4 linked regions of the Pelodiscus sinensis genome follow. The protein of the gene in region 1 interacts with the protein of each later gene in a biochemical or structural test. Links are inferred from orthologs where the notes say so. Each region holds a gene or a part of one and is shown on either strand. Other genes may lie near its edges. The genes, in order: PLCG1, PDGFRB, FGFR1 and ITK.

Region 1 (7,791 bases):
TCCAGGAGTTCCAGATTCACCAAGTCCCCAACATTTGTACGAGGTAGAAGTGTTGCCTAGAAGTTAGAGCCAGCTGCCTCAGAAGAGCTGTTGTTGTTGCCTGGTATCCCAGCTGGGGTAGCACAGCTTTGTCATTTGTGCTGGGACCCCCACATGTGCAATGCCAGTGAGCGATCGCCTACTCCAAACCCACTCAGTTTCGGAGAACAGACTAGACAGGTGTCCTGGAGCAAATACAAAGGGGCTAATCAGCACTAGGAGACTGGATGGCTGGTCCAGATGGTGAACTGAAAACTGTGTTGACAACTACAAGCTATCATTTCAAGGAAGGGGTTTCCTGGTCCTACTTACAGGGCAGGGGGCTCTGTCAGGAAGTAAGCAGCCTGGGTTTTAGTGTGCACGCACTGTGCAGCCAGGCTGCAGAGAGCCAGCCAGAAGTAAAGTGGGGTGACCAGTGCCTCTCTGCCTGCTTTGCTTCGTGTGCGTTACGGTTCTGGAATGTAGGAACTAACGGCTGTTACGTTGCAGCCTTCCAGAAAGCAAGTTTGAGGTTTTTAATCTGCTGTCTCTGGTTTGATGTTGGGAAGGCAACTGTCCACAGAAGAGGGTAATGGCTCTGTTACTGCTGCCAACTGAGGGGATTTTGCTCTTTAACTCAAGAACTAGCAGTTCATGCTTTGGGTGAAGAAAATCCTGGGGCCGAGCCCTCCTGGGGCCAGTTCATCAAGTAGTTCACATTTACACCATTGCCTCCCCCAGGTCTGAATCCCAAATGGAACATTTTGAGACCATTGTACATTGAAGATTTGTACAAAGCACCTCTGTTTTATCCGGCTGCTTACTCCTTTTCCTCACACACCAGTGCAGGTAATTTCATGTCACATTTGACTTTGTGACTGTAAATAGAAACTCTCTCTTTTGCCAATGAACAGCATGTTTTAAAAAACAACAACCCATGCAGAATTCCTGATAGCTGCATGTGCAAAATGCATGCCTAACTGCACATGCAAATATCATGATTGCACATGGCAACTGGATAATGTTTCACATGGAGATACTCTGGAGAATGCTCCTGCCACAGTCAGGCTGACTTTTGTGCACCTGCTCTCAGTACCCCATCTGGAAGAAGGAATTCCCTGTGTGGGCTGATAGGGAAAAGATCTGCCCATAGGCCAGGGAGTAGCAGCATTGCTGCTCTGCAGCCTCAGTACTGTGGTAGCTCAAGCATGTGCTGGCGTATCTCAGCAGTTGTGGTTCATAGTCGGTTTCCGTGGAGTTGTGCTTCAGAACCACACGCAGTTAGGACTTTCTGCACCTTTGTGCCCCAGCAGAACCGCGCCAGTTGTGTTTACCCAAGGCTGTCCCTCCCTATCAAAATGGGAAGGGCAGGATTTGTATTTTTGTTATGCTAGTAAAGGTTTGGGAGAGACATTAATGACAAGCTGCGGCGTGCTGAAACAGGGCCGTACTGCATAAAGCCTGGGTTAGTGATCTGAGCACAGATCTGGGTGCCAGGAATCCTAGGAATTTCAAACCTGGCATTGGGAACCAATTCCTCTCCCATATTTGGCACATCATACTAAGCTTTGATTGTACTTGCAGTGCAATGAAGGGCAACATTTCCTAGTTATTTTAGTAGGGGCAGGCCCTTAACCTCATTGGCTTTTCCTTCCCTGTCTCTGTACAGCCGTGGGCTACATCTAGACTGGCACGATTTTCCACAAATGCTTTTAACGGAAAAGTTTTTCCATTAAAAGCGTTTGCAGAAAAGAGCGTCTAGATTGGCACGGACGCTTTTCCGCAAAAGCAGTTTTTTAGACGCGGTTTTGCGCAAGAAAGCCCGGCTTGCCATTTTCGCCATTGGGGCTTTTTTGCGCAAAACAGTTTTTAGCTGTCTACACTGGCCCTCTTGCGCAAAAACATTTCCGGAAAAGGTCTTTTGCCCAAACGGGAATGTCAAAGCATTTGCGCAAGAAGCACTGATTTCAGACAGTAGAACATCAGTGCTTTTGTGCAAAATCAAGTGGCCAGTGTAGACAGCTGGCAAATTTTTGCGCAAAAACTTGCCAGTCTAGACGCAGCCATGGTGTCCAACCAGTTCTGAAGCAGTTGTCACTACAGTGGCTACTGCTATAGCAAACTAGCCACACTCAGCTGGCCAAATAGCCACATGTGGCTAGCATGGTGGACACCACCGCTGTGAAGTATAGTAACTGGGGAATATCCTTTTAAATAGTAGAATAGTGATAGAAATGTAGCTGTGTTAGTCTGGTGTAGCTGAAACAAAATACAGGACTATGTAGCACTTTAAAGACTAACAAGATGGTTTATTAGATGATGAGCTTTCGTGGGCCAGACCCACTTCCTCAGATCAAATAGAAGAGGAAGAAAATAGTCACAGCCATATATACCAAAGGATACAATTAAAAAAATGAACACATATGAAAAGGACAAATCACATTTGGAGAGTTGTCTGGTTGCTCACCTGCATCCTACTTCAGAAGACATTCAAATCTGTACTTGAAAGAGAATCCTCTGAACTGGCATTCATGCTAAAATTCTACACTCTCCGCGGGGGGCTGAACAAAGACTCCAGCTATCTTACCCATTACAAAGATAGCTTCCCCAATTATATAATAGCTAATACTATTAACTCACAGACATCTACCCTTCCCCACCTCTATCATTAACTCACAGGCATTCACCTTCCTTTCCCCCTCCCCCGCATCCTCCTTCTGTTCTGAAATGTGATTTGTCCTTTTCATATGTGTTCATTTTTTAAATTGTATCCTTTGGTATATATGGCTGTGATTATTTTCTTCCACTATTTGATCTGAGGAAGTGGGTCTGGCCCACGAAAGCTCATCATCTAATAAACCATCTTGTTAGTCTTTAAAGTGCTACATAGTCCTGTATTTTGTTTCTTTTAAATAGTAGTGAGCCCTCTTGTGTTCTATGTTGTAGGACTCAGTCGGAGCAGCAGTATGTATATAGCTAGGCCTGGCCTCAAGTAGACAGGGTGATGTGGACTCCCACGGTGCCAATGCTGTTTATTTTCTTGTGTAAGGAGCAAAAGATAGACCAGCCTTTAAAACTGGACCACAGTAATTCTTACCAATTACTGCTTAAAAAGTGTGTGCATTATTAGCATTCCCTGTGCTGGTTATGCAAATGCTGTTAGGAATCAGCTGTTAACCAATTTAATGAGAGCAAAAAGCTGATATATCCTTAAAACCCCACCAGGACTGATGAAAACTTGCCCTGCCCTGCCCCAGTGTCACCGTGTTGTGTCTGGCTGATTTGGGGTTGAGGAGGACAAGGGAAGTCAGGGGGCTTCCAAAGAATGAAAGTGGCAAACAGCCCTTAAATACTTTCTAAAGCAACTGTTTATCCCCACACTAAGCCTCGCTTTGTTTAATTTCCTGCCACTGGCCTGAATGAGGATGTAGCACTGCACAATTGGCCTGGCACGAGCGGATGCTAACACAAACCTGGCATGAAGAGGACAGCTGCTCTCTCCTCTGCACGAAACATTATGGCATGGAGCAGACCGGCAAAGGAAGCTGTGTCCGGTTTGGGGTTAGTGGACACAGGTGGAGGGGAAAAGACAGACAGACAGGATGGGCTCTTGATTAAGGGACTTGTCTGTGCTTCAGAAGAGCTGCATTCAGTCCCTCCTCTGCCCCAGACTCTCTCTATGCTGGGGGCCAAGCCACTGAGGCTCATTGGTGTTTAGGGTCCTAACTCCCATTGATATCAATGGTGGGCTAGCCACCAATGGGAGTCAGGCACCTAAATACCTTTGAGCATCTGAGGCTTAATTTCTTTGTCTTGCTGTTCCCTGTTAGTCAAATGGAGCTGGTGTCACTTTCCTCTCACACTTTGTCTTGTTTTGGGAGCTCCTCAGGGCAGGGACTGCCCCTTACCGTGCATTTGTGCAGCCCCTGGCACAATGGGGCCCTAGCGTGAATTAGGGCCTCTACGTGCTACTATAATACCAATGATGATAACACAGACCTCCTGCCTCCCAGACCAGTGCCACTTTCAGTGCAGTTACTGGTAAGGGCACTAGATGGGAGATCAGGAATTCTTGATCTTTTCCTGGCTTGGCCACTGACCTGGTGGGTGAGTTCAGGCCTTTCCCTTCTCAGTTTGCCCATTTGCCCCTTGTCCATCGAACTCCAGGGCCCCCTGCCCTGAATCTCCTCAGAGCTGCTGTCCTGCTAGCCTAACACAAAGGTAGTCTCATGCTCATGTTCAGCCCAGAGGGATTCTTTGTTATGACCTCATCATCCTCCTAGAGCGTGGAAGAACACACCAGTGGGGAGCCGTGTGAATGTCACAATATGTGGGAGAAGCCCTGACAGGGAAGGTCTTCATGCACCAGCCCTAGAAGCTGCTGCATGTGCATGTGGCTTGCAGGGGGGGCTCTGCTGTGCTCGTCCCCAGATAGCTGGCATTAGGTATCCCTGTTTGGGGACCCAGTAATAGGTCCTGATCCAATTGTCCACTTTCTCAACTCCCTGGTCTTCCTTCAGCCCTGGCGGGTGAGGTGTGTGTGCCAGCACGATGACGTAGGAGGACACAGCCTTGTTCTGCAGCTGGAGGAGCAGAGCCAGCCTGGGAGCCAAGCCATGGGGCTGGCGTGAGCAGAGAAGGAGGCATCCCCCCTGCCAGACTGCCACTAGCCCTGAGCAGCACCTCGTTGACTGGCTGTCTATGTGACTGTGCAGAGGGAAAGGGGGCGCTTTCCCAGAGCCCATTTGGACTGGGGACCGCTTTCCTTCTCCCTTTCTCCCAGCCCTACAGGTGGGTTCCCCTCCAGCCTCTCACTTGCATGCCCCTCCCGGATGTGTGTGAGATAGCGGATCCCCAGCCAGGCCTCTCCCGCTAGAAGCGCCCCTCTGTGGAGGCGGCAGGAAGCGGAGACCCCCACCCAAGACGAGGTAACCGGCGGGGGGCGGAGGGAAAGGGCCTGGTCCCTTTAAGAAGCTGCTCGCTGGCTCCTCCGCTCTGCTTTGTTTTACACGAAGGCTGGGAGGGGGCGGGCTAAGGGAGAGAGGAGCGACCGTCGCCTCTGCGCGCTCGCCATATGGCACTGCCCTAGGGGGCACGTGAGCCCGCAGGGGCGGAAAACCCGCGGCCTGACAGCGCGCACCATTGATCCGCGCTCTGCCCCGCGGAAGCTCCATTCCCGGCTCTGCTGGCAAAGGGAGGGAGGAGGGGGCCTCCTTTTCCTAATGCACGTGCCGGGAGCAGGAGGGGCCGGAGTAATCCCCGCTGCGGCTGGCGCGGAAGAGCCCCGGAGGGTGAAAGAGGCAGGCTGCTGGCTGCTTCAGTCCTTTCTTCCCGAGCTCTCGGGAGAGCTGATCCGGCTCCGGCCGCGGCAGGGGGCGAGCCGCCAGCTGCGGGGGAAAGCGAGCTCGTGCGGGGGGGACGGACTGTAAGCGAGGGCCCCACAGCGCAAGGCAGCCCGAGGGTCCTTCCCCCGGGCGCGCTCTGCAAGCCGCGGGGCCGGGGAATGCTTCGTGCCCGCCCGCTTTCGCTTTGGAGCCCGCTCGGGAAGGAGAACAAATATGGTGCATGATTCGGAGCGGGAGAGGGGCGAGTTTCTGCGGCTCGGCGGAGTGCGAAGAGCCGGGAGCGGGGGACGGGAGCGGGTTGTGCGTTTGCCCTTCTAGCCTCCCCCCCAGTAAAACACCCTTCCCCCCGTAGGAAGGGAGAGCCCTGCCCCGCGGCGCCATGCACTGAAGCAGCGGCGGGGATTGTTTGCGCGCTGAGTCCCACCAGCGGGGAGCGTGGAGGGCGGCAGTTCCCTTTTGTTTGGAGATTTCGCCGCATTCGGGGAAGGAGGCGGCGGAGGGCGTCATGGCGTCTGCCTTTTCCAATGGTCCCGGCGTCCCGAGCGAAGCGGAGGTGGTGCACCTCTGCCGGAGCCTGGAAGTGGGCACCGTCATGACTTTGTTTTACTCCAAAAAATCCCAGCGGCCGGAGAGGAAAACTTTCCAGGTGAAGCTCGAAACGCGGCAGATCACTTGGAGCCGGGGCTCGGAGAAGGTCGAAGGGGCGAGTAAGTTGCCTGGATCCTTCTTCTCTTTAAACGGCTAACCCTGGCTGCGTCTCGTTCCTCTTTCGGAGCAGGGCTTAGGAGCCTGCGGGTGCCTGGCGCTTGGCATGGGCCGGAGGCGGGCTGCGTTCGGTGTAAGTGAGGCGCCCTGGGAACTAGATACAGCAGTGGAAGTTGTCCTAAAGAAATATCCATTTTAAAAAATGCCTGCTGTTCTCTCTCTCCTCCCCCCCCCCCCATTTACATTACTGATCTGAGAGTGGAATTGCAAGTGCATCTGTCTTGATTATCTGACAATCTGTTTTGGCCCTTCTTATTTTGCCTGTCTCCTGCCCCACCTCCTAAAATTGCAGCATAACGTAAGAGGAAAAATAGATTTCCTGTTTCCTCGGGATTTTAAAAAAAACTAAAAGTATTTTTATCCATTCTTGCTACTGTAATTTAATGTATCTAGGTTCTCATGGTCTTGAGTACCTGTGCATGCATGCGCGGGAGATGGGGGTGGGGGAGAGAAGAGAGAGAAATTACAGTGAAGTTTTTGTGTTTTACTTGCAAAAGCGAATGATCCAAAAACGGCTGAAGCCTTTGGAGAGTGATTGGATTTTTAACTCTTGCTCCACTTTTAGCAAGTTGTATTCCCTTGCCCATATATCCTACCATCTTTGATTTGTGTGTTGATTGAGTGGGAGCTGTGCTGCATGTAGATACAAACTCCTTTTATTATCCATGCCTGCTTAAGAGGACAGTAGTCTAGCCAGTTACATGGAAATTCTTGACTGTCTGCAGACCTAATTTTTATCTTAAAGCCATGAAGTAGTTGGTTGCTTTGTTTACTCTGGTATTTAAAGTTATGGACAGAGTTGGTAGGTCCAGCCCTGATTTTGATTACTGCAGTGAGGTCATACCTGAAGCAGTGGATGGCTGGAGAGATGGATTTCTGTGCCAGATACAGTTGAAAAATTAACATTGTGGGTAGTGACTCCTCTGCTGCTTTTCATTTTCCTGGAGCTTGATGATAATCTGCAAAACAAGAACGCTTATCTGCCAGATAAGCTATTAGTGCCTAATTTCTCTCACTTGCAGGTACATAAGCAGATGTTGACACAACTAACTGCGTGATGGATTGATATGTTGTAATCCTCTCATAAACTGTACTAGCTAAATTGTAAAATACTAATATGGCTAGTAGTCTGATATGCATTATTAGTAGGGACTGTCATTTGGTATCAAGTTGGTTCCCATAAAAATAGGATAGGCTGGGTCTAAAATCAGGGGTGCGTCCTTTTTGTATCTGTGTCCCTGCCATGTTTTTAGTACAAATTGAGCATCGACATTGATTTCTCAAGAAGAGCAGTTCTCTCCTGTCTCCTTCCTGAACCAGAGCTTGATCATTAATAGGATATCTGGTTTCTGCAGTCTGACACATTTCTGTCCATAAGCTAACCATCTGCTATTTGATCAGTTCGCATGGATCATAAGTAAATAGTGGTTTTAATAGTGTTTAGATACTATGGTGATGGGTGCTGTAGAAATTAGATAGCACTCTAGAAAGCTGGGTGATATTTAACTTTCATCTTGGTTAATGACTGCAGAGACTTAGGATAAGACTGAAGTCTGTGATTCTCTTGATATCTTTACTGACAGCACCTCTGTATCAGAGGGATAGCTAAGCTCTGTAAAAAATCTTTACAGAAGGCAATCCAATAAAATCTTCTGTTTTCACA
Region 2 (7,157 bases), on another chromosome or scaffold:
CTCCCTCTATCTCTTTCCAGATCTCAGCTGCTCTCCTATCTTTCCTCCCTAGCCTGTACCTCTGGCTGCTGTTGCAACTGCATTATCTGGGAGACACACTGGAGTAGCACTTGTGTGCAAGATACTGCACAATCAGCAGCCCCATTGTATGGTAACAGCCTGGGGGTTCCCACACCCCGATCTCCCCTCCCCTTGGCAGCCAGAGGAGATCTCTGAATAAATAGTCTGTACTTGGGTTTTCATCAATGGAAAGCTGAAGAAACTGCTGAGATAAAGGAGAGATAAATAGCCAGCCTCTAACTGTTAAGGCTCACAAATGATTAGCCAGCTCTATTATAAACACACACCCCTAACCAGCTATTAAGTGATGACTCTCTCTTGTACACACAGCAGCTCTTAGGTGGGGGCTGCGACAGGTTTTTAGGGGAGTGATTTTTCCCCCTTTCTGCTGAAGGAACGCACTAGCAGTGTGGATATGAGTATTGCTTTTCCAGAAAAACAGCCGTTTTTCCAGAAAAACTCTGCAGTGTAGACGTACCCCTAGGCTATGTTTACACTGGCGGGTTCTTGCACAAGAACATCATGCACAAGGGTTCTTGTGCAAGAACTCTTGCACAAGAACACGTCCACACTGCCAGGTGCTTTTGCACAACAGCGCCCATGGCAGTGTGGACGCTCTTTTTCTCAAGAAAGCACTGATGACCATTTTAGCTATAGGGCTTTCTTGCACAAGAAACCCCTGCCACGCATCCACACTGCCCTCTTGAGCAAGAACTCTTGCACAACAGAGCTTACACTTGTTAGAAAAGAGCGTAGCTCTTGCACAAGAAGCCCTCTCTTCCCACGCTTTACTATAAATCTTCTTGCGCAAGAGCTAGGGGGCCCACGTGGACGCTTTGCGGAAGAATGGCCGTTCTTGCACAAGAACCCGCCAGTGTAGATATAGACCTAGTGTGGATGAAATTATACCAGCATAAAGGAACCTGAGGTCTCTTTTACTCTAACAAATTTTTCTAGCAGGCAGGCTTGGGGCTGATGGGCCTGTAATATACTCACGCTCCTGGCCAGCTTACCTGTGGCAGCAGAAGCTCTCGCATAAATTAAGTTACACCAGTAAAAAATGTCCATTTGCCAGTGTAGCCTATTCCGCTGGAGGAATTGGTATAAACTAGAGCTCTTCTGGCTCTATTAGCTGCATCTGCACTATACCAGGCTCGCTATCGCAAGCAAACTCTTTGTGTGTAGACAAGGCATGACTCAGCCTTGCACCTTTCATAGAGCTATAACTGCATCCACATTAGCGCGGTGGTTCTCAAAGTGTCCGTCTTGCAGGTAGGTCGTGGGCTTGGGGCTCCAGCCTTGTGCCAACTTTCCGCTGTGGGGGGAAAGGGGCAAGCCTCATGGACTGGATCCAACTTGTGGGTTAGGAAGCAGCTGTGTGTGTTGCTGCTCTCCCTCCCCTCCCCCTACGTTGGGGGAATGGCAATGCAGGAAACCACCCACCTGGAGGCTTTCCCCACTGCTCCCATTGGCCGGAATCATAGTCAATGGGAGCAGTAGGGGGTGGTGCTTGGGAGCAGTGGGAGGCACAGAGCCAGGTAAGGGCCCCCTATCCGTCGTATGTCAAGACCCCACACTCTCGGCCCACTCCTGCACCCAACCCCCTGCCAAGACCCCTCCATCCTCAGCCCACTCCTGCACCCAACTGCCCACCCAAATTCCTCCCTGCAACCTCAGCCTGCTCCTGCATCCTACTTCCTGGCCAGACCCTGCACTCCTACCCCTTCCTGCACCCATTTTGTCATGATGGGTGGTTGGCTGGTGGTCTCTGCTGAGCAGGGTAGGCCATGGGCCAAAAAGCTTGAGAACCACTGCACAAGAGGGTTGTAGCCAGTGCAGATTCTAGGGCTGATGTAGCAAACCTAGGGGGGCTGGGGCTAGATAGGCATGGGAAATAGGAGTGCAGGGGGTGCTGCAGCACCCCCAGGTTTTGCACCAAGCTTCCCTGCACCCGGAGGGCTGGCCCTGCTGCCCATCCATCGCTTGCTTTGCCAGTCCCTGTTCCTGGCCTCATAGGGTACGTCTAAACTACATGCCTCCGTCGACGGAGGCATGTAGTCTAGACACACCCATGGAGTCCCACCAGGCCTCCAGGATCAAGCCAGCCCCACTGACTTCGTCACAACCTACTGGCCTCATGGGTTCCACCAGCCCTCAGATCCCATTGCCAACCAGTCTTGCACCCATGGGCTCCTCAGCTGACTGGCCCTGCTAGCCCTAGAGTCCAGGTCACCAGCCCTGGATGCCCCATACCCACCCTGGGTCCTGCCACTGGTGGGGGGCTCTGCCTGGGGGCAGCCTAAGGCTAGGATTGCCAATTCTCCCAGCCACCTGCCCCATTGATGTGAATGGTGTCCGGTCAGTCTGGTCTGGGAGAGTTTGCAACTATCAGAGAGACGCAAACAGGTCCAAGGGGAGGGGGTTCACTCATCACCCCTCACCCTAAAAATTGCTCCGGTGCCACTGTGGGGCTATGAACTGCCAAGCCAGGAGATGCCAGGGCTCAACTCTGCTGAGCATGGGCACAAATTAAGCTCTGGGTGGAGGGGTCTGTTTGCACCAGCCGGGTCAAAGCTGTGAAAGCAATGTCCATAGGCAGTCATTAAAGCAGTGGTTCTCCATTTTGCGGGGGGGTGGGGGCACAGGCTTGGAGCTCCCCTCCTTCCCGCAGCGGTGAGCCTGTGCTGGCGCTCCAGCCCCACGCCGGCTTCCCACTGCAAGGGGGTCGGGGTGAGCCTTGTGGGCTGGATCCAGCTTGCGGGGTAAGTAAATGGCTCTGTGTGCTGCTGCTCCTCCTCCCGGCTGGGGGAACAGCAGCACAGGAAATGGCTCCGCTGGAGGCTTTCCCCGCTGCTCCCATTGGCCAGAATTACAGCCAATAGGGGCAGTGAAGGACGGTGCCTAGGAGCAGTGGGAGACACAGAGCCAGGTTAGCATCCCCCATCCTTCTCATGCCCAGATCCTGCACCTCCATCCCCCTCATTCCCACCCCTCCCACCCAGACCCATTCACTCTCAGCCCTCTTCTGCATCCTACTTTCTAGCCAGACTCCGCACTCCCACCCTTTCATGCACACGTTTCATCATCATGGGGGGTTGGCTGGTGGTCCATGGAAAGGTTTATGTTGAGAAGTTTGAGAACCATTGCACTAGAGAAAGGAATACTCCGTACAGATGTAGTCGCCTTATCTCACCAAAGATATCCTAGCACTGGAAAAGGTTCAGAAAAGGGCAACAAAAATGTTGAGGGGTTTGGAGCAGGTGCCATATGAAGAGAAATTAAAAAGGCTGTGACTTTTCAGCTTAAAAAAGAGGAGACTAAGGGAGCATATGATAGAGGGGTCTATACAAAAGGGAAAGTTATTTACATGTCCCCGTAACATAAGAACTAGGGGTCGCCACATGAAATGAATAGGTAGCAGGTTTTAAAACAAACAAAAGGAAGTTTTTCTTCACGCAGCTCACAGCCAGCCTGTGGAACTCGTTGGCAGAGGATGTTGTGAAGACTAGGACTTCAACAGTTCAAAAAGAGAACTAGATAGATTCATGGAGGTTAGGTCCATTAATACTTATTAGCCAGAGTGTGTAGGGAAGGTGTCCCTGCCTCTGTCAGAGGCTGGAAATGGGTGACAGGATGGATCACTTGATTCCCTGTTCTGTTCACTCCCTCTGGGGCACCTGGTGTTGGCCACAGTCTGAAGACAGGATGCTGGGCTAGATGGATTTCGGTCTGATCCAGTATGGCCGCTCTTATGAGTCCATGCCAGCATCTGTGCCCAGGCGATCAGGACAGGGGCTGGAGATGCTGTATCAGGCCTGGGAGGGCATATGTGCAGTCCCTTTAACACAGGCCTTCTTTAATGAAAACATGAGTCAGCTGCTGGCGTGGGCAGTGGATTTTCTAAACATCCCCTCATATCCTGAGAAAGGGGAAAAAATGGGAGGGGGGGGGGGTTTGAAATCAGGGCAGGGCGAAAGGCCAGAACTGAAAGCAGGGAGAGCCAGCAAGAAGCAGCCCCCCAAGGCGGCTCCTCCAGCCCAAGGAGGAAAGGCAGGGGGCTGCGCTCAGCTTTGCTGAGGCTTTGAGCCGGGAGCTGGGCTCCGAGCCCCTCTCCCGCCCCCGGTTCTCACCGAAACTCCCCCTCAGAGCCTGCTTCGGTTTGTTTGGAATCGAAAGTTTTGGAGAAAGCTCCAGCTGGAAGGAGGCGGGGAGAAGGGAAAGGCGGCTCCAGCCTTGTGCCGATTGGACACGGGCTCCCCCCTCAAGTTCCCCCCCCCCCCAATTGTATCCCCCCCGCTGCCGCGCTGGGGCTGTCTCCGCAGCGCACTTCAGGGCGCCCGCCGAGGCTCCAGGCTCCTCTGCGATGCTCGTCTAGAGGCAAAGCCAGGGCACCTCGGGACTCCGCGGCGGCTCCTGGCTGCGCGGCGCTGGGAGGAGCCGGGCCGGGCCGAGCCGGGCCGGGAACGCTGCCCAGACGGCGATAAGGAGGCGGGAGAGGCGCCGCTGGGGACTGGCGAGCGAGCGAGCCCAGCGCACGGTAAGTGGCGCGCCCCGCGAGCTCCGCTGCGCGCTGGGGGCTGGAAATCCCGGGGGGCTGGAGAGAGGGGTGGGGGAGTCACGGCCGCTCTGCTGGGGGCCGAGCTCGGGAGCCGCCGGCGTCGAGGCGGGCGGGGGAGGGCGAAGGGACCTGGCAGCGAGCGAGCGAGCGAACCCCGCCAGCAGCTGGATGCGCGCACGGGCCCCGCTGCGCTCCTAAGATGCGCGGCCAAGCGCCCGGCTGCGGGGCGCGCCCGGACGGCAGGACCGCAGCCCTGGGAGCTAAGCGAGGGGCAGGGAGCAGGGGCCCTGGCGTGCTGCTGGGCCGGCCTGGGAGAGGGGCAGAGCTGTGGGGGCTTCCCGCTGACAGGCTTGGCCTGGGGGGAGACTTAGCTCTGAGGGAGCTGGGGAAGGGGATGGGGATCCTGGGACAATCATGAGAGGCTTAGGCTATTCCCGAGCAGGGCAGGGGCTGGGCCCTGGATACCAAGGCGCTGGATGGTGCAGAAAGGTCTGGGGAGACAGTGAGCTACCAAGCCAGACAGCTGGTTCTCTCCGACAGGGCTGGTGACGCAGCAGGGGCGGCTTTTCCCCGGGCAGGTCCGTCCCCTGCCTCCGTATCCAGCCAGGTGGCTGGTCCCAGGGCGAGCCAGGGGCTCATGGTTTGTGCGAGTCAGGCCCCCCCCACCGGAGCAAAAGCTGCAGGATCGGGCCCGAAGGAAATTCTCCCCGTTCCTGCTTCTGGGCTGGTAACCACACGCCCTCCTCTGAGCTTGGTCACAGCCCTGGCTGTCCTGCCCAGGGACAGCTCACCCTGCTGGGCTCCGGGATGAGCCCTGGGCACAGGCCGCCCACACTGATCTGGGTAAAAGCAGAGGGAGCAATCCCAAGGGTTGGCGGGGATGGAGGCTGCAGGGCATCTCTCCAGGACCTGGCCATCAGAGGAGAACACAATGCTGAGAAATGCCTCTGCCGCAGGCCAAGGGGGGAGAGGGGACGCAGGAGAGGGACAGTGACCTAGGAAACCTTTCACCTCCTGGGTTTCTCTTTCGCATCTGTCCCAGCAGGATGGCTGGTTAGTGCTCTCTGGGATGTGAGCAGGGGGCTTTGCTCAGTCCTGCCTGGAGATCAGGGCTCAGGTCACACCACCCCAGGGGCCTGCTTTGCTGGATGGAGATGCTGGGGTCTGAATGGGTCCCAGACTGAAATACCGTCAATCAAAGTCACATGGGTGGGGCACGGCAGGAGAGGCAGCACCCCCAGAAGCAGTAGCCTGGGACTCCCCCACACTGGGGCAGGGATGACACCTGGACGGAGAGGGCTGCATTAGGCTTTGAAGTGTGGTCTTAGATCTTCTTCTTAAACCCTTGTCACTCCGAGGGAGCATAGGTCGTCTACAGGTCTCCTCCACTTCACTCTATCTTGAGACAACACTTCTAGCTGACTCCAGGAGTACCCCAGTTGTTGTCCTTCAATCTCAATCGATCTTCTCCATGTTGTCCGAGGTCTTCCTCTTTCGCGTTTTACTTGCAGGTTCTATGTGAGAGCTTGCCGGACTGTGCTGGATGATGGTTTTCTGAGTGTGGCCTCGCCAGCCCCACTTTCTTCTCTTGATTTGAATGTCCAGTGGTCCTTGTCTTGCTCTTTTCCAAAGCTCTTCTTTGGGACACAGTCTTGCCATCTGATGTGAAGGATGGACCGCAGGCGTCTGTCTAGGAATGTCTGTAGCTTGTGAGGTGAAGACTTTGTAGTATGCCAGGTCTTGTACCCATACAACAGCACGTTCTTCACATTTGTGTGGGCGATTCGCAGTTTCGTCTTCGCAGATATTATTTATCAACGTCCACCAAGTTCAGTCTATTCTAGCCTGGCTCCCCAGCCAAGTGCCACTCATCTCCGTAGGATCAAGGCTCGGATGGGGCCCTGCCAGAGCAAGGACATATTTTAGGCTCTGATTCAAGCTGAGCCCCACCTCAGTGGAGTCAGGCTATTGGGTGTGCCAGGGAGGGCCAGAAGGGGGCTGGGATGGTCTGAAAGTGAGATTGTGAAGGAGACAGGGCGTCCTGAAGGAGCCAGGAGTCCGTGGGCAGCATGGATGGGAAGGAAGCTGCGTTTACTGTCCAGCGTCACATCAGAGGGCTATTAATCTGGGACTTTCCAAGGGGCGTGGGGAGCAGGGCCATGTGGAATGGGCCATGGCCTAAGATGCAGCTTTTTCTCTCCTCTTCTCTCCCCCACCCCCCGCTATTTATCTGTACCCTTGACCCCTTACTCCAGCCATCTGAAGAAGTGGGTTATGCCCACGGAAGCTCATGACACCATCTACATGTTTTGTTAGTCTCTAAGGTTCTGCAGGATTTTTTGTTGGTTTTTAGATTTTTTTCAGTTACAGACTAACACAGCTCCGCCCTCTGAGGGTACGTCTACACTTGCTCCCTCGTTGGCGCTAGGGATGCAAATGTAGGCGACCAAAATTGCTAATGAAGCGGGGATTTAAATATCCCGCGCTTCATTAGCATGATCTCGCCGGCGCGTTACTCCCCTCAACAGCTGATTCGAAC
Region 3 (6,858 bases), on another chromosome or scaffold:
TGTTTACAAGACAGTCCAGGTAACCATTAAGGCTAGAAACTTACTTAGAAACCCCCCAAAGCAGATAGTCCCATGTGTGCCGGGCTGGCAGAAAACCATCCCCTATCAGGAACGGCGCTCCTTGGCAGCATTCGCTCCTTGGCTTTTTCCACAATTATTCACTCAGCTCCAGAAACGTTCCAGCGTCTAACAAGGTGCATTTCAAAAATGCCAAGCCGTTTGTCACAGCAAAGGCATGCACAGCCCTTTCGCCTGGGGCCAGTTCTCTGCAGGAAGGGCCCATCTCCACCAGGCACTTTTACACCCACACGGCCACTCGGGTGCATGGGGCTCACCCCTCAATTTGCACCTGCGTCTCTCCACCAGGGCTCTTTGTACACACACCCCACACTCTTGTGGACACAAACTCCTGGAGGGGCTGGAATCCCTTGTAGCGTGGCGGTGCTGAGCGGAGCAGAGCGCCTGTGCGTACAGAAACCGTTGCAAGCCAGGCTGCCGCAGCTAGCTCCAGCAGGTAGACTTCATTTGGTACATTTTTAGCAGCACATTTTAAAATGAAACACCGCCCATTTGGAGCAGACAGCCTCGCAGCAGCACTATCAAGGGAACCTCCAGGAATTCCTTGCAGCTTTCTTTCAAGAGACTCACTGTGCTTGGTTGTCCACCCTTGGGCACTTACGGCCCATTAAATAAGGCCAGGCCTCAGGAAAGCAAGTCCCCACAAGCTCAGCCCCCAAGTGCAGCTGCAGGCAGCCTGAACGAGGAGTTTACTGCTAGCCGTTTCTCACTCTCGGCCAAGGCTAAAGAGAGGGCCAGATTTTGCTTCCTGGAGCTCAGTGGTGTTGCAGGAGGGAGGACAGAGCACCACTGACATGTTTTAGACTTGCTAACAAACCCCCTAACATATGGGACAGTATTTACAGAAGGATCCCCTTAACGAGACCCTCCAGCTGGAGCCTCCCCATACGACCAATACAGGCTCCAAAAAACTTCCGCTGCAGCAGGGAGAAATATGTAAATAAGATATTAGTCGGCATGAGAAACCCAGGCAGGCACCTGCATCCCAGCACACTGCATGACTGCACAAATCAGGACCCATCTGGGATTCCAAACCATTAGCAGGAACTGGGAAACCGTAACTCCAGGCATCTGAAGAAGTGGGCGGTGCCCACGAAAGCTCATGATCCCAGCTCCATGTTTTGTTAGTCTAGAAAGCGCTACCAGACCATTTGTTGTTTTTTTCTGTAACAGACTAACTCTGCTACCCCCTGCAGCCGGGAAACCACACGGCCATGTTATGGGGATGCTTTTCTATCAGCCCCAAATCTAGAAGAGGAAAGCGAGGAGGGGGAGCTTTCGGCTAGCTCGTCTCAGATGAGCCAGGTATTAGGAACCCCCCATTCCTCGGACCTTCAGCTCTGCAGAGTGCATCTCCCGAGGGAGAGCGCAAGGAAACGCCGAGTGCGTCTCGAGAAAGCGCTATTCCATTACAGAGACAAAATCAACAGGCTGGAAACCCGAGGAATGTTTCCAGCGCAGAAGAGATTTCCCTCCCCCGCTAAACTTTGTACCTTAAGAAGCGTTTTTGGCTCAGGAAGCCCGCGGCTGTGAACGCGCAGGCCTCGTTTTATGGGTTAAGGCAGCGCTCGTAGGGTCTCCGGTGTTGGGCTTCCGAGAGGAAACAGCAAATCGCAGCGAGACGAACCCTGACACGGCCCCTCCGCACTGCTCACATCCCAGCGTTTCCATGGGAGAAGGGGAAAAGCAACGCCCGACGGTGAGGCAGCGTCCTCGGGGGAGCAGCCCATCCAAGCCAGGCCGAGGGGAACTGGTGGCAAGGCTCCGACTCTGCCCACGCTATCCCGGGAGTGTGCTAGTCAGCCAGGAATGTCCTAGCCCCTGGCCCTAGGCTCCCTGAATCAGCCAGGCCCGCCCAGCCCGGCGCAATAATCAATACGATCAACAGTCACCAGGTGCCAACTAGGCAGAAAGTTCACACAAGGTCAAGGAGCCCCCCCCCCCGAAACCAGCCAGCCGCCTGCACCTCAGGGCTCCTGCCCAGCCCCACAGCCGGGACTCCCAAGCCACCTTCCCCCAGGGCCTGGCGGAAACCCCCCTGCTGCGCCTCCAGTGCCAAGGGAGAACTGAAAAGGGTGGGAAATGCCCAGTCCTGCCCACGCCCTCCGGGGAGCCGGCTCGGGCAGGGCAGGGCAGGCAGGCTCCAGGACCCGGGCCTTTGGCCTGACCCCCGTGGCCTTAGGGCCCCCTCCCCAGGCCTGACTGCAGCGGGCGGCTCCCCGTGGGGAGGGCTAAGCGCTGGCGGCCGGGCCAGACCAGGCATCGCACGGGGGGTCCTGCCAGCTCACATCCGCCCTCGGCCGGGCTGGGGCGCCCTGCGCGGCACGGCGGGGCTGGAGGAGGGGGCCGGACACACCGGCGCGGGGCCCGATCCCGCAGGCGGCGGTGGGACGCGACTGTTCCCCGCATCGGGCCCCGCGCCAGGGGCGCTGCGAGCTCTGCCCAGCCCCGCGCCGGACGCCCCGGGCACCTGGCCCCAGCCTCGGCCGGGGAAGCTGCGGCTGCTTTCCCGGGGCCCAGGCAGGCGGGGGCGGGAGCCAGGGGTCGCATTCCAGCCTCCCCCGCCCCCCGGACACTGAACCTCCCGCGGTGAGGGGGCGGGCCGGGCTCCGGCTGCCCAGGGTGCTCCCCGCAGCATTTCACGCCCCCCCTCCAGGCTCACTCCGCTGCCCCGCCCCCCGGAGGCGCCCCCCCCCAAAGTTTGGGGAAAGTTTTCTCGCAGCCGCGATGGCGCCTCCCGGGCCAGGGGGCGGGTGGGAGGCCTCGTGGGGCGCCCCCCGCCCCGGGTACTCACCGCTTCGGCGGGGTCCAGTGGCGGAGCCGCCGCCCCAGGCGGGGCCGGTCCCGCTCGGGGCCCCCGGAGCTGCCGCGAAGCCGCGATCCCCGGCGGCTGGGAACAAAAGGCGCCGAGCCGGGGCCCAGGCGCGCAGCCCTGCCGAGCTGCCCCGGCTCACCGCCCCGGCTCCATCGCGCCGCGGGGCCCCGAGCGCGGGAGATCCGGGCAGGGGCTCGGGCCCCGGGGGAGACACGAGGGGCCCCGACCCCCCGGGAGCTGGGAGCCCAGGGGCCCGGGCGCGCTGCGGTGGCTGCGGGGCGCGCTGCGGGTCGGCTCCGTGCGCTTGGCTGCTGCCCGGTCCCCAGTGCGCGCTGCGGAGCAGGGCTGCGTCCCTCCCTCCTGCCCGCCCAGCCCCTCCTCCGCCCCCCGCCGCCGCCTGCCTTCTCCCCGGCTCCTCCTCCTCCGCTGCCCGCCAGCGACCTGCCCGTCCCGTGGGGGAAGGACTCTCTCGCCGCGCCCGGCCCCGGCTTCTCGGCACAGAGCGGAGCTGGGAGGCTGCTCCGAGCGCTGGCGGGATGGGCGCGCTCCGAAATGCAGCTGCATGGAGCTTGGGGCTGCGGGGCTCCAAGCGGGAAAGTCTCCCCCCCCCCGCCCGCAGAGCTTTGCCTTGGCCCCCCCGGTTTGCAATGTATTTGCCCACAAAACAAACCCACCACCGAGGGGGGGGGTTCTGACCCTGGTGATTTGTGAGGGTTATGGCCGCTCTCAGAGTCCCCAGGATCCGGGCCCGTTTGATTAGGTTAGACAGGTTGGACCTCCCTGGTCCGGCCCGGGTCTGACGGGGATTTCCTTGGACCAGGGTTGGTTCCCTCCCGCTGCTGGCCTCCCAGCCTGCTGCCCCTCCCGGCTGCTGGCAGGGGGATCTCCAGATGCCACTGGTGGAAATCCCTTGCTGTGGGGATCTGAGCTGGGAATCCCCAGTTGCTGGCCCTGCTGGGGACCCCCAGGGAGGGCTGGAGCTCTCTGGTGCAGCAATATCTGAGTCCTGCGGGACTACGGATGTGGCTGAACCGGAGAGTCCCAGACTTGAGAGACGGAACCTGTAGTCCGATAGGAATTAAGGCCAGTGTTTGCCCCGCCGAGTTCACAGTCTAAGGCCCCATCTTGCAATGGACTGGAGGGAGGCAGCCAGGGCTCGGCCAGCGTGGGCTGCCAGACACACAGTCACGGACGTGCAACAAATAAACGAACCCAGCAACAGCCATGCAGCGTGTCGGAAGAGCACAGTGTTGCCAACTCTTGCCGCATGATAATCTCCTGATACTTGTGTGATTGTTAAAGCCCAGCTGCTATGCTCAAGAGATCAATCTCAGATTTCTTTCTTTCTGTCTATTTTAGGTAAGTTTTCTAGCCCTTGTGGTTGGAGGATAAAGTTTGAAAAAGGCTCAGAGAAGGCCAAACGGATTTTCCTTTTGCAGTCTCTGGATTTCCAAGCCAGTTCATGATTATTTAGGCCTTGACGCATGATTTTTGAGCCCTGACGGATGATACTGACGGATACCCTCCAACACACACGCTCCCTACCCCTCTGGTTGTTAATTCGTGCAAACTGCCTGAAGCTTTCCGGAGTGAAATAACAAACAGTAACAAAAGGAGAGAGAAATCCGAGGCACAGGCTCAGGGAAAATCGGATTTTATTGTGGCTACTTTGTTTTCCAGTAGAAAGTCCCTCTGAATTAATATCCCGACCCTGTCATGGACTAGCTGAGTTCCTCTTTCCTACGTTTGATACTTCCAGCTCACAAACATCTTGGTTTGATTATGTGCCGCCTAAGAAAGACCAGGAGTGATCAGACCCTTATGCGGTGAGGGCACTGCATGGATCTGACCACAGGATCAGGCCCGAAATCCTCAAGTTTCAGAGTTTGCTTTCATGTGCAAGAGCTGCCTGATGGCTTCCCGTCAGATTTTTTTTGCCTTTTGCTCTTGATAGACAAAAACATGCCAAACTCACTGCTATTATCTGGGGGTTCTGTTGGCTTGAACAATCTATTCGAGGTTTGTCCTCTTGGCATATTTGTATCCATCAAAAGCTATAGGCAAATGTTTTTCTTAGTTACTGCATAGATAGGCAAATGTAGTCCCCTAGTGCATACGTGGCCTGGCTTGTGGACGTGATGAGCACCCACAGTGCCCTCTGAAAATCCAACCCATATCTTCCCGCTCTGATGGGCTTTGACAGGATTTGTCAGACCCAAAGCATCTGGACCACAAACCACAGAGCAATCCAAAACCAGCAGACAGCTGACTTCACTTCCCCCATCTGTCTCAGGTGAACCCTGCTGCGAGGGCCAGCCGAGAAACAGGGTGCAAGTTCTAAGCTGGGAACCCTTTGGGAACATCTCTGCAGGCAAAGGCAGCAATCCAACTTGGGGATTTCTGGAGGCCTCTGACACCAGCTCGGCCAGGAGGTAGCTGCAGGGGGAGTGGAATGCTCCGTCTATTGTCATGCAAATTAATCTGCCCCAAACCCTACTTGGCTTCAAAATTCCTAGGTCCAGTAGCAAGCAGCTTCTGGCGGGGTGCTCCCAGGCGAATGCAGGTTTGATTTAAGGGGCCTAGCGAGGGAGGGAGTCTGGGTGAGTCTCCAGAGAGGTCCGGCCCGGAATGAAGACATCTCCTGGCTCACTGTGGAAGACAATGTGTAAATGATTAAGTTATGAAGTGAAACAAGACAGGCTGAATTAGATCCATCAGTCACCACGGCGATATCTGAACCAAATGCCAGGCATCCGTCTTTACAACGAGAGCAGCCCCTTACCAGCACAGGCAGTGGCTCCGGTTGGGATGCCAGTGGGTTTTGCCAGGGTGATCGATAGATATTGGTGGATGCGAGGGAAGCGACCTTTCCTCTAGGACTCTCCTATCCCTGCGGGGTGTTGCTACGGATCACGTCCGTTCAGGGCATGGGGTTGTGCAGCTCTCGCTAGCTCAGTCATCAGATATGGGCTGGAGGCAGGAATCAAGGTGCAAAGTTCTCTGCTCCATGTTCTGCAGGAGAACAGATTGGATGGTCACCGTGATCTCCAGGCGTTACATTCGGTGGCTCCATGACTAGGTTATGGTGGGGAGCTGTGACATACCGATCTCCGATCTCCCTGGAGCTGTGGTTCGGCCTCGCCGGCTTGCCGCCTTTCCCAGAGCACCCCGCTACCTCTCTGCTCAGGGTTCCTCGCTGGTCTCAGGGCCACACACCCAGGCGCTGAGCTGGGTCAAAACACCGGTGGGCAGGAGCCGTTTGTTGTTTGTTTTGCTTTCAAAGCTGCATTTTTTCTACCCTGATTTTGTCTGTTTCCGTTTGGCGGCAGACGGGCTCTTTACAGCCAAGGGAGGAGAGTGCCCGGAGCTTGGCTCTGCTACCAGGATCCCAAGGGACGAGAGCGCCAGAGCTCAGTTCGGTGCGTCCACACTGCGGGAAGGAAGCCCAGGCATGGAATCTCAGGTTCTGGGACCCTCCCCCGCACTGGACTGCAGAACAGCCAAACAGCCCCCTTGCAATTTGAGCCCACCGAGTCAGCTGCCGCAGGCCATGCCTGGGTGTTTTCCTGCCAGCCCTCCCCCAGCCTCTGTCCCTTCTGGCAGGAGCCAGGTTCAAGAGCTCTCCCGGGGCTGCTGACAAGGGCCATGGCGGAGCTGGAGTGCCGGGAAAACTCCTCTTGGTCTCCGGGGCCTGCCCACCCCGGGGCCTGCTCTGGAGAGAGGCAGGCAGGAGCGCAGGCCCCCTCCCCCGGTCGGATGCTCTGACTTGCATTTGACTCTTCTTGCAGCAGCAGCCCCAGTGGCCTGCCCAGTCCCAGGTCCTTTGTCCCGTCCTCACGCCCGGACATGGCTCTGCCTGCTTTGCTCTCAGCCTTGTCCCCTCCCTGCCAGGGGAGGCAGTGGGGGAGGGCTCGCACCTCCCGGCTATTGTTCCTCCAGAGGGGTTTCTGCCTGCCTGGATTAAC
Region 4 (7,878 bases), on another chromosome or scaffold:
ATGGTAAGGCCAGAGAAAGGAATGAACTAACACAGTCGATCTTTGGGCCAGGTTTGTAGAGATGTTAAATCTCTGCTCATATGCACCACCAGAGGGTTACAATGGACATCCAAAGAGACCCTCACATTGAGTTCAGAAGACTGGGAAACCATCATGTCAAGCCAGGGTGCTAAAGCCACATTTTCCTACCGCCGGTGAAAAGTAGTGGTGGTGTCGGCCCGGCCCTTGGAAGACTCAGGAGACAAGCGAAGACCAAAAGGGTGGGTAGCATGAGCCACCTTCTCAGCCCTAGAGCTTGTCCCACCAGATTGGAGACCAATGAGGCAATGCCGAAGCCTGCACAGAATTACCTGCTCTGACTGTCATAGATAAGCAAAAGAGTTCATACTTCAGGGCTAACTGGTCCTTATCTGCACTCCTATCTTCATTTTGCACCAGGGAGGTTTATTAATATAATGGACCTGCTAAGACGATTTACACTGGCACAAACCCAATGCTACACAGTGGAGTATCAGGTCCTACAGTTACTGGTATAGCTGTGTGCATGTTGTATATACCTGCCTCCAGGAGACAAACCTAGTGATAGACAATGGCCAACTGTGTCCAGTTCTTTACACCACATTTCAGGAAAGATGGAGAAATTTGAGAGGATCCAGAGAAGAGCAACAAAAATTATGAAAGATCTATGAGCTATGAGGGAGGACTGAAAGAATTGGGTTTGTTTAGAGAAAAGAGAAGACCGAGAGGGGACATGATAGCAATTTTCAAGTACCTAAAATGGTGTTACAAGGAGGAGAGAGAAAAATTGTTTCCCTTGGCCTCTGCTGATAGGACAAGAAGCAATGGGCTTAAACTGCAACAAGGGAGGTTGAGGTTGGACATAGCGAAAAAGTTCCTAACTGTCGGGGTGGTTAAACACTGGAATAAATTGCCTAGGGAGGTTGTGGAATCTCCATCGCTGGAGATAGTTAAGAGCAGGTTAGACAGACACCTGCCAGGGATGAGCTAGATGGTGCTTGGTCCTGTTGTGAGGGCAGGGGACTGGACTTGATGACCTCTCAAGGTCCCTTCCAGTTCTAGGGTTCTAACTCCTCAGCTAGTCTAACTCACTTACTTCAGGGGACAGTGTTATTGACTTAAATGAAGCTATGACAAGTTACTCCGCCGTTGCTCTGGTTCGGCACATTTACATTTGAGGTAAAAGAAGCACGTCCGCTGTGCATGCCAAATACGCTGCAATTATCTTGGCACACTCCGATGTTTGTAAATGGTACAAGGACATATTTTGACAAGTTTGCTTAGATATGTAGCTTGTTACGGCCCTATACGTCGTCCCATTTTTGCCTCATTAGGATTTAGGGCACAAGGGGGTATAATTTTCTAGAGCACTGAAGTGACTTTCACGCTGCTGTCCTGTTCAAAGTCCGTGGGTTTGATGTTCAAAGGTATTTAGGTGTCTCCAAATGCAGATAAATGCCGAATGGGGTTTTCAAAAGTGCCAAGCCAGGTTATGTGCCTGTTAAAGGGAGCTAGGCACCAAAGTAAAGCACATAGAGGGATTTTGAAGAACACCTATCTGCAACTTTTGGCAACTAAATGTCTTTGAAAATCAGACCCAGAGAGACTTAGGTTCCTAAATCAATTAGGCACTTGTGAAAATTGTTCCCATTCTTACTAGGCTACGTAGTTGTATTAACATCTTAACTCTTCAAATGACGACATTTGGACCACAGAATAGACACTCTCAGTCAAACTGAAAATATACATCTTGGATTGCAATAATATATTTTAAAAAATTTAAATATAGTATTTAAAATAAACCACATGCATTTTATGGTGCCTGAATGGATTCTTACAAATTCAAAAGAAACATGGCAGTGCAACTGGAGAGAAACAACACTTACAAGCAGCAATACACCCTTAAAGTCGTGTATTGATGTCCCTGTTTGTAGACCCTGGCAAACAAACTGAGTAAGGTTACAACGGGTGGCTCCAGCCAGTTGTGTGCTTCCATATGCACAAAAGGAGACACGATGGGAGTTTTGCTTTGATAAAAGCACCCATAAAAGGTTGCTAACACACATTAGCTTCTAATTCTTTTCATAGTTTCAGGGCTAGGCATCTGAGATGTGCTTAGTCTGAGTGCATCTGAATATCAGACCCCCTCCTACAGCCTACTCCCCGAAACAACTGACCCCGTTAGAACCTGACCTCGAGAGTTTTGATTAACAAACATGGAGTCCGTCATGCAGAGAACCATCCTTCTACTGGAGCTGAGTGTCTGCCCAGTTCCAATTTGTTTGGTCTGATTTTCTATATGCAATTAAAACGTATGGCGAGAATCCCTGTTACCCAACTTTATAACTTTGATCAAAACATGCCCCGAGCTACAGCACTATCCATTTGAATTGCCTAGTACACAGTCAGTTAGGCATCTTGGAGGGAGGCAGGTATTCAGACCGCGCTACGTTTCTTTGCTCAAACCAGGTTTGATCCTCCATTCCTTCGACACGCCAAACCGCCACTGACCTATGGGGAAGTTTTGGGTGGGCACAGAATGCCATGGAGGGCCCTCCACCAGTAGCTAGTTTAAGTAGATGTTGGGCGCATGGGATTTCACAGCATACACTGTTCCCCCCTCCCGTTCAATACTCTCGACTCACGAGCCTGCAAAAAAACGAGAGAGAAAATGGCTCACGTACCCCATGGCGATGCTCAAAATAAGCCAGCTTGGATTTGGTTAAAACGAAGAAGCGCACTTTGAAGTTGGAGGGAGAGGTCCGTCTCTTCTGCTGGGATTTTTTGATCAGCTGCTCTTCCAGGAGAACACAATTATTCATGGTTCGGCAGGGCACGGCGCTCCTCCCGGACCCCGCACGCCGGTCCCAGACCCGCACTCCAAGCACAAGTCCAGAAAAGAGAAACAAGAAAGAGGGCAGTTGATTTTTTCAACAAAAAAAAGGTGTTTGAAAGGCAGCGTAGGTGCACAAAGCCTTATCTTTCCGTCTGTCATCTAGGCAGCACTGTAGCGCTTCCTTTCTGTCAAAACCGTAACCACATCCTCTCCCAAGTCATCAAGTGAACAGCACATGCTGAAAAATACTCTACGGCGAATGTTGTGGAAAAAATGAAAATGTGATGGGCGCTCTTGACAAATGTGATTTTTCTGTAAAGGCTCGGGGATTAATTAAAAGTTGTGGCATGATTACATAATGGCCCACTCAACCCGCTCTTAGCAAATATAGGGATGTCTGCTCAGGGTGGACTCGGATATAACGAAACAGCATCTTTTTCGTGCTTTGGGGAGGATTTCATACATCCACGTTCCTTGTACAGACGGGTGGTATGGTCTGTGTTACCTCCAGCCTATCTCTCACCTCATGCACTGTACTTAGTGTCATTTGTTTGACGTACAGGTTGAACCTCTGAAATCCGGCACTCTCTGGTCCAGTGCCCGAGAGCCTTCACTAGGCCATGAGCCAGGAGTACAACCCAGGCCAGCCCGGCAGGGAACGCAGCCCCATCCGAGGCTGGGAGCAGAGCCCAGTGATCGGGGCTAGCATTCCAGAGGGTCTGATGGCTGGGAAGGGAGCCTTGACCTCCCTAGTCCGGAAAACTCCCTGGTTCGGAACCTGAGGGTGCCGGACCAAGGAAGTCCAACCTATATTTCAAAGACACGTAGCATGTAACTACAAAGACTCTGACGTGTAGGCATTGACAAATTGCAGATCCGAGCAATTAAAAGCTGGTGTATAAATGAAGTTACATTCATTATATGTGTTATGAGATGCCATACCAATGAAGTTTATTTATATCTTTTCAATATTGTCATTAATGATTATTCATACTAATAACACGGAGCTCTTTTGTAGTGCGTTTTGTCAGTAGATGGCAAAGCGCTTTGGGGAAACTGAGGCAGGGGGCGTCGCAATGACATAACTGCTTACTAATTGCTGAATGTTCCAGATGTGGCCGGGTGGAAGGCAGTCTGTGGGTGAATGTTCCAAGAAAGTGTAGGCAGAATATACATGCTCTAGGTGTATCAAAGTCCATGTAATCTGTGGCAAAGGTACACCTAAATGCTATATCAAGAGCTGTTCATTTCTGTAGCACTGCACTGTGGCTGGACTGGAAAATCGGTGGCAGTTTGAGGTGAATTTAAAGAAAAAGTGAAAGGTTTTGTTACATTAATGTGGAAGTGACTAATACAATCAGTACAACATCCACTGTTTTATTTGACATTAATTGCAATTAATTTTACTCTGCCTCTGAATTTAACTCTGAATTAGGGCTGTGGGATAAGCACTGTGCTGGTTGCTCTTGGCCATTATTTGCCTGTAGATCATTTGAGCAATGCTCACTTTTAAAATGGCACCATTAGGTTCCAGAGTTAATACCAAATTGTGATGAATGGGGAAAGTTCATACCTCTCTTTGAGCTATTCTTTTAGGGTATGTCTACACTATCCTCCTAGTTCGAACTAGGGAGGCTAATGGAGGCATTCGAAGTTGCAAATGAAGCCCAGGATTTAAATGTCCCGGGCTTTATTTGCATCTTCCCGTCTGGGCGCCATTTTTAAATCTCATTAGTCCAAACTAACTGCCTGCGGCTACACGCAGCAGTCAAACGTTAACTCGAACTAACTCCTTAGTTCGAGTTAACGTTAAGTCCTTAGTTCGAATTAATGTTTGACTGCCGTGTGTAGCCGCGGGCAGTTAGTTCGGACTAAGGGGATTTAAAAATGGCACCCAGATGGGAAGATGCAAATAAAGCCCAGGATATTTAAATCCAGGGCTTCATTTGCAACTTCGAATGCCTACATTAGCCTCCCTAGTTCGAACTGGGGCGGTAGTGTAGACATACCCTTAGGCTGTCTGCAAACTCCAGAGGCAATGTTATTTAATGTATGTGCAGAATCAGCACTGATATAAAGGGTGAATTTCATGTCAGGCGCCGAGACAGAAATCAAGGGCCAAATGTTCAGTTTGATTTGCAACGTGGTGCATCTCACACAACTGCACCCCTGCTTTATAGGTGTAAATACCTGCCTGCGTGTTACAGAGTTGTAATGCTTATGCAAAGGCAAGGGTTCAAACTGCTTATTTTGGTGTTTGTGCCTGCAGAGTATATGCCCATAATGTATCATACACCCATATGTAGCAGAGTCTGAAATGTACCCCCAAGGTTTTCTGTCATTTAGGTGTAACGCCGACAGCTGGAACCGAAACTGGGACCTCTGGAGCTTAGAGTATGACCCTCTACAGCAGGCGTGGCAATAATGTTCGTAAGGGGGCCACTTAATGCATGGTCATGGGCTGGCTCCACCCCCAGATGGGGCGGGGCCTGAGGTGGAGGGGGCGGGGCTGGGGACTAGCCCCCAGAGTTATCTGGGCTGGGGGCATTGAATTAAAAACACAGCAAAGGGCTTGTGGCTCTATCCTCTGCCGAGGTAGCACCCCAAGTGGGAGCCGGGAGCCATTTAAATAGGATCCTGCTGCCTGAGCTGCCTCCTGGACGTTTGGTGGCCCAGGCAGCAGGAGATAAATAGAAAGCAGCCAGATGCAGCCCACGGCCGGATTGAAGTGTGAGGTGGGCTGGATTTGGCCTCCAGGCCGCATCTTGTCCAGCCCTGTTCTACAGCCTGAGCTAAAAACCGGCTGACTCTCAGCTAAGGCTGTAGAGAACTAGGACTGGCGGACATGACCGCTTGGGAACTGTTACTGGCTTTGGGCCGGGTTCTGTTCTCATGGGTGTTTTAGCTCCAGTAACCTCACTGGACCGTCTCCTGATTTCCACAGGCAGCCTAAGATCAGAACCAGGCCTCCCATGCCCGGAGGTGCCATAACGCGGCTAGCTCTGATTACTTATTGGCCTCGTTTCGAATTTGTTTCCGGCCAGGCCCCACCACATACGAGATGCGGTCCTGACAGGCCGGGAGGAACATCCATGAGGCGCATCATGCTCTGACTGCAGAGAGAGAAGAGCGAGAAGTAGAAATCTGGCTTCCTTTGAAAAATGACTGTGAGGGACAGCTAGAGGCACGGTTGTCAGTGGCCAAAGTGGATCTTCAAGAAGGACTCCCATGTGGGCGGGGCAGGGGCCTGGAAGAGAAGGCCCACCTCGGCCGGCAGAAGAAGAGGCGAGAAGCTGATAAACAGGCAGCTGAGGGGAATAACACCGGAGGAGCGGGGAGGATGTGGGGGGCGAAGTGACGAGGGTGGTAGATGGGGAGGGCAGACGTGTTTTCAAAGCTTGATTCTGGTGCGATAAGAGCTGGGGCGTCAGTGAGCGATTGGAAGAGAGGGGCGATGAGATCATGTCTGCAGGCAGGCTGGCAGCCGCAGCTTGCATGGTGTAAATAGGCCGGCTTTGGATGGCCCAAAGAGGGAGATAGTGCCAGACCCAAGGGGGTTGAGGGAAGGTCCGAAGTGGGGGCTTGGCTAAGGGTATGGGAGGGAAAATAATGGAGACGCTGAGGAGGAGGAGATGCCAGATTTGGATACGGCCTGGATCTGGAGGAAAGGGAGGCAAAATGAACCCCAAGAGTCATAGAACCCTGGACGTGGTAGGGATCTCGCGTCCAGTCCCCTGCTCTCCCGGCAGGACCAAGCACTGTCTAGATCAGTGGTCACCAACCAGTCGATCGGGATCTACTGGTAGATCTTGGAGCTCAGACAGGGGATCCTGACTGGTTTGGCTTTCAAGCGTTGTCACGTCACTTACGCCTCCCCACGCGGTCACGGTGCCCTCTGTCTTGGAGCTGCCCCCCCGGCAGCCTCCCGCTTGGTGTGGAGAGAGAAGGGGGGGGCGCTGGTGTCAGGATGTCCCTCCTCCCTCCACTCCTGTACCCTATCTCCACACAGTCAGACGGGGATGGAGGGAGCTTGACGATGCAAATCTGTCACTCTCACACCCTGTGTGCGTCTGTCGTTCTCACACACGCACACCATCCTTCCCTCTCCTCTCCCGGCCCAACACACAGGCGGGGGGTTGTTACTGCTCGCAAAGGGGGATAGTTTCGGTGTTTGACTGGTCGGTGCATTTCATCATTTTCATTTCTCTCTCACACGCCGGTGTAATTCTTGGAGCAGCGAGTTCTCAAATGCCGAACCTGCCCTGGCTGGAGTCCCTATCCCCGTGGGAACAGCTGCTCCTGGACGGGGCTGGCATGTGGAGCAGGGGGTCTCCGCATGGTGGCCTGGCCTGCGGACACCGCCCTTGCAGCTCCCGTTGGTCCGTAATGGGGAACCGGGGCCAGTAGAAGCTGTGGGCTCCGTGCCTGTAGATGGGGGCAGCGCATGGCTCCATGGAGTCACTGCTGCACGTGCCAGCTGCTTTGGGGAGCAGTGCAGGGCCGGGGCGGGAGTGAGCCGCCTTAGCCCTGCTGCTCCACCACGTGGAAGCCGTCTCAGTGAAACGGTGCCCAGCCAGAGCCTGCTTCCTGAACCCCTGCCCCCAGCCCCTGCCCCTGAACCCCCTCCTGCCCCCAACCTCCTGCCCCAGACGTGAGTCCCCCTGCACCCAAACTGCTTCCCAGAGCTTGCCCCCTGGATCCCCTCCTGGGCCCCAATCCCCCACCCTGGGCTAAGCCGGGAGCCCCCCCCCATACTCCAAACCCCTTGGCCAGGGTGGGCCCGAGCCATTCTTGCGCCCCGGGCGTGCGGCACCTCATTGGTGTGTACAGGGCGCCGCGCCCCCAGGCATGCATGGCCCCGCCCTGGGCGGCAACTTATGGGGGGCACCTGATGCGGCATCTCTTACCACTTCAATCAGGCGCCCCCATAGGTTGGCGCCCGGGCAGCTGCCCGGCTAGCCCCCCCTTAATCCGGCCCTGCCCTGGGCCCGTGACCAGAGCCTGCACCCCAACCCCCTACCAGC

The links.
Region 2: the proteins of PLCG1 (region 1) and PDGFRB form a complex in vitro, tested with the Homo sapiens proteins (3 studies listed by BioGRID and IntAct, with this or other methods). The link is inferred for Pelodiscus sinensis from reciprocal best matches to the Homo sapiens genes PLCG1 and PDGFRB.
Region 3: the proteins of PLCG1 (region 1) and FGFR1 form a complex in vitro, tested with the Homo sapiens proteins (4 studies listed by BioGRID and IntAct, with this or other methods). The link is inferred for Pelodiscus sinensis from reciprocal best matches to the Homo sapiens genes PLCG1 and FGFR1.
Region 4: the proteins of PLCG1 (region 1) and ITK form a complex in vitro, tested with the Homo sapiens proteins (2 studies listed by BioGRID, with this or other methods). The link is inferred for Pelodiscus sinensis from reciprocal best matches to the Homo sapiens genes PLCG1 and ITK.

The regions. Positions count from the first base shown.
Region 1 is NC_134728.1:25,001,169-25,008,959, reverse strand, and holds the start of PLCG1 (1-phosphatidylinositol 4,5-bisphosphate phosphodiesterase gamma-1), read left to right. Parts: upstream 1-4,791; 5' UTR 4,792-4,809; intron 4,810-5,043; exon of another isoform or gene 5,044-5,318; intron 5,319-5,324; exon of another isoform or gene 5,325-5,715; 5' UTR 5,716-5,868; coding exon 5,869-6,070; intron 6,071-7,791. UniProt on the Homo sapiens protein: Mediates the production of the second messenger molecules diacylglycerol (DAG) and inositol 1,4,5-trisphosphate (IP3). Plays an important role in the regulation of intracellular signaling cascades.
Region 2 is NC_134727.1:35,019,605-35,026,761, reverse strand, and holds the start of PDGFRB (platelet-derived growth factor receptor beta), read left to right. Parts: upstream 1-4,140; 5' UTR 4,141-4,597; intron 4,598-7,157. UniProt on the Homo sapiens protein: Tyrosine-protein kinase that acts as a cell-surface receptor for homodimeric PDGFB and PDGFD and for heterodimers formed by PDGFA and PDGFB, and plays an essential role in the regulation of embryonic development, cell proliferation, survival, differentiation, chemotaxis and migration.
Region 3 is NC_134738.1:15,608,404-15,615,261, forward strand, and holds the start of FGFR1 (fibroblast growth factor receptor 1), read right to left. Parts: upstream 3,006-6,858; 5' UTR 2,873-3,005; intron 1-2,872. UniProt on the Homo sapiens protein: Tyrosine-protein kinase that acts as a cell-surface receptor for fibroblast growth factors and plays an essential role in the regulation of embryonic development, cell proliferation, differentiation and migration.
Region 4 is NC_134727.1:39,217,941-39,225,818, reverse strand, and holds the start of ITK (tyrosine-protein kinase ITK/TSK), read right to left. Parts: upstream 3,005-7,878; 5' UTR 2,841-3,004; coding exon 2,703-2,840; intron 1-2,702. UniProt on the Homo sapiens protein: Tyrosine kinase that plays an essential role in regulation of the adaptive immune response. Regulates the development, function and differentiation of conventional T-cells and nonconventional NKT-cells.